Diceros bicornis minor: one gene and its partner. The protein of the gene in region 2 purifies or fractionates together with the protein of the main gene of each other region. This does not show direct contact. Links are inferred from orthologs where the notes say so. Each region holds a gene or a part of one and is shown on either strand. Other genes may lie near its edges.

Region 1 (3,745 bases), on a different chromosome or scaffold from region 2:
GGAGCCTGTCACCTCCATTCTTCAGAGGAAGCAAGTAGCAAGGGCACGTGTCAGTGCCCCTCTCCCTGCGGGCATCACCTGGGTGGCTGCAGAGTCAGGATGCCCTCAGTCCAGAGTCCAACTTGATGGGCCCAAGTACCCCATGCTAGCTGCTCAGGACTCTGTGCCAGGAGAACCAGCAGAGGTGGCAGCCGAGGCGGGGGGGGCGGAGGCGAGGTCTTCTAAGGGCCCTGAACACAGGCCCGGCCGCCTCTCGCTCCCCAGCAGCTGGCACGGGACACGGGTCCTCCACGACCCCAAGGCATGGCGGGGAGACAGGGGGTCTGACGGGTCGCAGCCGTGAGCTCAGCGGAACAGGCGCCACAGGAAGAGGCCAGCGAGAGGAAGTCCGAGAGGGGACCTCGGTCTCCGCAGCAAGAGCACCGGAAGCCGGGCGGGCAGGAAGCAAAGGAGCTGAGCTTTCCACAACCTGAGGCAACTCAGAACCAGTGGTCCGCCCTCACTGTGTAGACGAGGGAACCGGGGAGATTCACAAGGAATGAGGGGCCCTCGCTGTGTAGACGAGGGAACCGGGGAGATCCACGAGGAACGAGGGGCCTCTGGGCTCTGACACAGCAGAGAGGGAGCGTGGGGGCTGAGAGCCTCGGGGGCCACCTGCCCAGGGACCCTCTGGGTGTGGATCCTGTCCGCCAGGTTGGCACAAACACCCATCTGCTCTCAAATCGGGGAGCAGTACACAGAGCTGAGGTGACCAGGACGTGCTCTCAGAGGAGATGGAGATCCCTGGGGAGGGTGCCACCTGGCACAGAACACACCCCTCAAGTGACAGGGGTCAGCCTGCGGACCCAGTGCTTCCTTCTGTCTGGGGAGGACAGTGCTCGCTGTCCCCGAGGAGGTGACGCCCACACGCAGACTTCTGTTCACTGTCCCCAGTAGCCTGAGTAAGGTACCCCGATCCTGTAACTCTCCACAGCTGCTCACCGCCTCCCGAGGGGACCCGAGCCGTCCTGGGGGCTGTGGGGAGGGAGGGGCGGGAAGGCCACCTGCACGCAGCCTCATAAGGCGGACAGCCCAGGTCAGCCTCGCAGGAGGGACTGGGGGGCTCAGGGGCTTCCCCGAGGTTGCGGTGGGGCCGGGACGCACCCAGGTCTGTTGGGCAGCCCCACTCGCCCTCTTTCCGCCAAACCCCAAACAGCCGCAGGCTCCTGACCGACCCTGCCGGCCGCACCCCCCGCGCCTCGACCGCCAACATCAGCCCTTTCTGTGCCCAGGAGCCCAGCGCCCACTTGGCGACGTTAGCATCCCACCGTGTCAGGTGACAGCTAGGACCACCCTGTGCTCGGGAACCGAACCCTGGCCCCACGAGCTCCCTCTCTGGGGTCGCAGCTGCCCCCGAGGGAGACCCTTCGTGGAGGGCCCGGGGCCGCGCTCCCGCTGGAACCCGGAGCCCCCCGGGAGGACCCTGACTGAGCCGTGAGCCGCAGCGCTGCTGTGACTTCGCCACTAACGCCGGCGAATGTCCTCAACGAGGTCACACTCCCGGGACGCCCGGAGGAGGGACACTCGGGTGGGGCAGTGGAAGGTCCCGAGGAGGGGGCAGCCCCAGGAAAGGGGGGCGGGAGGAGGAGGCGGTGGACCGGGAGCGCCCCCGGGGCAGCTGGTGGGCCGGGGGCGTGTCCAGGGGTGCGGCCGCCCGGGATTGCGGTTCTGGGTCAGGACCGGCCCAGAGGGTGGGGAGCGGGTGCTCGGGGTCACAGGGCAGGAGGAGGCTCCCGGCGGGTCGGGGCCTGGCGAGGCGGGGACCAGGGGTGGGCGCGGCGGGGAGGGAGCTCCTGGGGTCGGGACCAGGGCCACCACGGGGCGACACCCGGGGCTCCCCAGGCGGACGTCTCGGGGCAGGAGTCAGAGGTCGCAGGGTTAAGGGAGGGTCCCCAGGGGCTCGCTGCCCGGGCGTGTGGGGTCAGAGGTCGCAGGCCCGGGGGAGGGCCCGCCTCCGGGGTCAAAGGTCGGGGGTCGGGGCCGCGGTCACCTTGAGCAACACGAAGAACTCGAAGAGGCGGCGGAAGGCGGGCGGGAAGAGCCGCGAGTAGGTGACAGCCATCTTGAAGAAGAGCGCGTGGAAGAGCCGGTCGCGCACGTTGATGAGCGGGTTGGGGTTCAGGTTGGGGGTGCGCGGCCCGCGCGCGGGGGCCGGGCCGCCGCCGCCGTTGGGCCCGGGCGCCGGGGCCCCGGGCGCCGCGTGCTCCGACATGCCGCCCCGCGTCGCGCCCTAGCGGCCCGCGGGTCCCCGAGCGCGCCTCCCGGCCGCCATGGGCCGTCTCCGCCGCCGCCGCCGCTCACGACCGCCCGGCCGCCGCCGCCATCTTCCGCCTCCGCGGCCTGCTGACGCCAGCGAGTCGCCGTGCCCGGCCAGAGCGGCCCCCTGCGCCCGCGGGGCACGCTGGGATGCCGGCGGCCGCCCGCGGAGGCCCCGCCTTCTAGCCGGGCCAACCCGCGGAGAGGACGCCGGGGGCGGGGCTGCGGCCGGCCCTTTGTTTTGCATATTGCCCCCACAATCCTCCGCGGCTGTGAGGGCGTTCTTGGGAGGTAAAATTAGTCAACATCGGAGGGTTTTAGACATGATAAAAGACAATCAAAGGAAGCGTGACGGTAGGAGATTTTCTTATACGTGGTGCTCTAGAAAGTCACGCCGAGTGTAAGTTTCATCAAATTGGCATAAGTGTAAAGTAGCTTTATTTATTTTCAGTAACTATACCCGCAAACAGCGCGTTTCGCGTGTTTGCTGCGTGGGAAACTTCCACGCTGCCTCGCTGAAGCCCCCTGACGTCAGAGGGCCGCGTGACGTCAGAGGGCCTCGCCGGGCTGTGCTCACCGCGGAGATCTGCGACTGGGCGAACCAGCCTCCTCCCTCGTTCCCGCCCCCCCCCCCCCCCCCCCAGTGCAGGTCTGGGGCTTTACGGGGCGCCTGCTGCGTGCACGGGAGAAGGTGGTTTCGGGGCCGAGCCGGGTTTTGCTCGCCCACCTACCGTCATGGGCCGCCTAGTTTTTGCTGTTCTGAACCGGCCCCGCTGGGTCAGGTCCCTGTCCCATGCCACCCGCGCGACCGCGGCCGGGCGGGGACGAGGGGTGGACAGGACTCTGAGCCCCTGCCGCCCCCGGACAGTGCCTGTCCCCCCACCGCCCGCCGGCCCGGGCACATTCCAGTGTCCAGGCCTGGGAGGGCACCTCGGGTCACGTGCTCATCCTTGAGACGTCTCGGCGCCTCTGGGCAGCCGGGAAAGTACTAGGACCCAGCGTTCACTGAGCGCCTACTGTATGCCAGGTGCTTCCGCCGCAGGGAACCGGGAAGGGCAGCAGGAAGGGGAGGCAGGACGCGTGGGGCGATGGCTGGGAGGCCGCCTGGGGAAAGGACAGTGGACACCCAGGCCTGCTGCAAAAAAAGCGCCCCAGGGCCAGTGCCGGGTGTTGGGGCTCGGGGCCAGCAGGGGGACAAGGGGGTGTCTGGTCTGGCTCCTGAAGGCGAGCAGCCCACCGCGAGGGGCGCAGACGGGGCCTCTGAGGAAGTCATTCTCCTCCTGTCCCATAGAGAGCGCCCTGCACGGGGCCTGGCATGCAGTAGGCGCTCAATAAATGCACACGCTTGAAATTATTATGGATCACTCCCAGATCACTTGTTAGTTACAAAAGAGAAAAACAATCTTTCCCAATGGAGAGGCCGGTGGATGTCCCCTTGACCTGGGGAGTG
Region 2 (3,745 bases):
CCATTCTCTTCCCACACTGTAAAGGAAGTAACCACTCCATAACCCATATCTTCTGTGCCACTGTAGTCACACCGCCCTGCTACAGAAACCAAAACAAAAATAGTAAAAACAGCAACCCTGTCTTCCATTTCTTATTCTCTCTGACAAGCACACTATGAAATGCAACATGAGCTCCACAAAGGCCCTAGAAGTCTAAACATGTATGACCAGTAGAGCCCTTCGAAAGCAACAAAAAACCCTAACCTCCATAATTTACTGATGAGGAAACCGAGGCACAGAGTTTATTTGTCTTCCAACAGCTAATTAGCATGTAAGCTACGACTAGCATCGTGCGTCTTGAATCTCCATCTGGCGCTCTTTTCACTACAATTTTCCGTCATTCATAAGGCTGACTGGATATTTGATCCCTTTTTTAATTCAGTTAAGTTTTGTAGGGATGAGAATGAGGAGGAAGATCCCGGTTCTTGGAATTCATAATGTGCATATACTTTCATAGTTTCTTCTGCCTGCTGGTCCTTTGGGCTGTACATGTGTCTGGACTAGCTTCTGGAAATCTCTAACTCATATGTGTCGAAAGTTAGAGCATTTATACTCCCGCTGTATTTTCATTGCTGGCACTGCAGGGCTTTAAGAATATTATAGTGAATACTCTGCTTCTTCCTTCTTCCTCCACCAGAACTCATTTTGACTCATACTAAGATACCAGCCCCAAGTATGGCTAAAGGGGTCAGGCATTGAGACCTATGGGGAAAGACCACAGACACTTGCGGTTCAAGGAAGGAGGTGGGTGGCTAAAGGAAGGCTGAAAATCTATCGTTACTACTTTGTTTTCCATCAGCTTTATAGGCAGATTCCACAAATCCAGCCAGTCTGGTCTGAAGCTGCCCTGCCTTGTTTTAAGCCACCAAGTTTGTGGTGATTTGTTAGAGCAGCAATAGGAAACTAACAAACTCAGGTTAAAACAAAACAGCTGCAGAATCACATAACTCCCAGCAGAAGTTTGGAGCACATGCTTGCAGGAGCTGGTTGTGAGGGGCTGGGAAAGGTGGGAAAACAGTTTCTGCAGAAGACAACAGAAAGACATGGGATGCTCAACTAACATTGAATGTGTGCATACTTAGAGAACTAGTAATTGTCATGAGTTGAAGTGTGCCACCCAAAATTCTTACATTCAAGTCCTAGTTTCCAGTACATCAGAATGTGACCTTATTTGGAAATAGGGTCTTTACAGAGATAAAGTCATTAGGGTGGGCCCTAATCCAATATGACTGGTGTCCTTAAAAATGGGGGAAATTTGAAGACAGACACATATGCAGGGAGGATACCATGTGAACATGAAGACTGCCATCTATAAGCCAAAAAAGAGGCCTGGGGCAGATCCTTCCCTCATAGCCCTCAGAAAGAACCAACCCTGTCAACACCTTGATTTCAGACTTCTAGCCTCCAGAACTGTGAGAGAATAAATTTCTATTGTTTAAGCTAATCAGTTTGTGGTACTTTGTTATAGCAGCCCTAGCAAACTAACACAGTGATGAAGGCACTGAAAAAAGAATACGATTTTCACTGAAGCAAATACTTGGTCATGTCTCATGAAGACCTGGATGGCCCATAGCTGGCTGTGAGGAGTACTGAGGAGGGTAAAGGAGGTCGACAGCACAAAGCCCTGTGTCCAGGTGCATTTCAGTGTGGCTGTGCCACACATTACAGTAGCCTTTATTTCCACAACTACTGATGACTCTAAGTAGTGGCAAGAAAGCTTGGTCTGAAATGTAAGAAAAACTCAGATGGGGAGAGGATTCGTGACGGAAGGCAGCCACGATCACAGAAATGAAAGGGAAAGAAAGGAGACAAAATGGGGTAGAGGTTGAGGCATTGATAGTGAGAAAGGAAAGAGACACAGAAAAAGAGGAGACAGATTAAGAAGAAAACAAATTAGGTCACCAAGGAACAGCATATTACACGTACAGTTTTTAAGCATGGTTACAGATATTATCTCTTTTAAATATCACAACGACCCTGTGAGGTAATTATATTATTATTTATGCTTCACACATGACGAAGCTGAGAGCAGTGAGCCCACACATCTGAACGACTAGGTAGCCCCGTGACAAGTAATTCCTGTGCCCTGCTTGTTTCCATCTCTACTCTCCTGATTGCTCCCTCCCCAGAAATACACAGAGGCCCCTCACCACTAGGCTTTCTTGCTGCTCTTCTCTCTGCCAAGACTGCTGAGGCAGGTCTAGTCTCTTGTCATAAAAACGTGGAAGCCAAAACCCACCAGATGCTGGTTCCAAAGAAACACAGACTAATACACCTGGTGATTATTGTTTGTTCACATAATATACAACAGCCGCTCGCAACCGTCTCACTCCCAACCTCCTCCCTCGTTTTCTGGCCAAATGTCAAAAATCCACCCTTAGACGCATCCCTGCTATCCCCCTCCCAACGCTCCGTACCCCCAAATCCCCGTTCACTACCGTGTCCCTCCTCGGGTCACTGGGGTTTCAGATGGAACTGGTCCAGCCAGGAAAAGAAAAAAAAAAAAAAAAAGAAGGAAAGAAAGAAATGACCGGTTTGGGTAGGGAAGGTGTGCCAGCCTCAAGGAAATGCTTTTCCGTCCCTCCTTCCCACTGTGGGGCGTGGCTGCCAGCAAAGGATGGAGTTTGGGCGGGCTCCCCACAAAGGGAAGTCTGCGGGCATTGAGGTTTCCGGGACTCACCACATACCAGCCAGCAGGAAACCTCTGCTGAAACTGTAAAAGCTGGACTTGTTGCTGATCTACTTACTCTTTTCCTTCTCTAGTGATTGCTAGATGGTCAGGTATAGGGAGACGCCAGGCCAGGTGAAAAGGGAAATTCATGAATGAGGGCAACAGCGCCACCTCGTGTCCGACTCCGTAGCAGCTGCCTTCTTTGGTGCTCAAAATGGTCGGGATTTCTCATTTAGCTTGATTAGTCCCCTCCAGGGACATTTGTAACCCCAAGCCTTTGCTGCGTGTACAAGATATTGGCCGCTGCTATGACATGAGGGAACCTATAAGGAATAAGTAGAAATAAAAATCCCAGGAGTAGGTAATCAATCAATAGCATATGCTCTTTAAATACCCGTTACGTGCTGGGCTCTCCTCTAGGGATGTAGCAGTGAACAAGCTAGTTATGTTACCTGTCCACATGGAATTTACAGTCATAGGGAACAATAAAGAAAATACACAGCTGGAAGAATTCCAAATTAGATATTAACACCTAATACAAGTTCTATTAAAGAAATATGTCATAGATAACTTGAATAGGTGACCAGTTTATTCAGCATTGATAGCATGCCAAGCAGAAATGGGCATCCATTCGAACAAAAAGAATTGGGGTGCAACGTAATATGGAGTATTTAGAGACTGAGGTGCTTCAGCTCTCTAGACTCTTCTCTGTTGAAATTTTGATTTCCTTCAGAGCTCTGTTAAAATACAATGAACTAAATGCCTCTGAATTGTACATTTTAAAATGGCTAATGGTTAATTTTATGTTATATGAATTTTACCTCAATTTTTAAAAAAGGATGAAGTCTCAGTCAATTGTTCTTCCCATCCTTTATGTCATAATTGATTAATAAAAGCCAAATAAACTGATCTGAACTTCATATTATATAATCTCCTGCTCTACTTCCCGTAGCACCGTAAGCTCCTTGAAGGCAGAGACTGGCTTACTCATTTTTGTAATTCCTGCAGCACCATGTTCTGACACACAGAATTTTG

What was found.
Region 1: the proteins of STYK1 (region 2) and TMEM259 purify together in Homo sapiens (affinity purification with mass spectrometry; 3 studies listed by BioGRID and IntAct, with this or other methods). This does not show direct contact. The link is inferred for Diceros bicornis minor from reciprocal best matches to the Homo sapiens genes STYK1 and TMEM259.

What each region holds. Positions count from the first base shown.
Region 1 is NW_026691553.1:560,233-563,977, forward strand, and holds the start of TMEM259 (membralin), read right to left. Parts: upstream 2,349-3,745; 5' UTR 2,252-2,348; coding exon 2,030-2,251; intron 1-2,029. Other genes in the region: cleavage and polyadenylation specificity factor subunit 6-like, read left to right, coding at 2,619-2,649. UniProt on the Homo sapiens protein: May have a role in the ERAD pathway required for clearance of misfolded proteins in the endoplasmic reticulum (ER). Promotes survival of motor neurons, probably by protecting against ER stress.
Region 2 is NC_080756.1:50,302,635-50,306,379, reverse strand, and holds the start of STYK1 (tyrosine-protein kinase STYK1), read right to left. Parts: upstream 2,546-3,745; 5' UTR 2,478-2,545; intron 1-2,477. UniProt on the Homo sapiens protein: Probable tyrosine protein-kinase, which has strong transforming capabilities on a variety of cell lines. When overexpressed, it can also induce tumor cell invasion as well as metastasis in distant organs.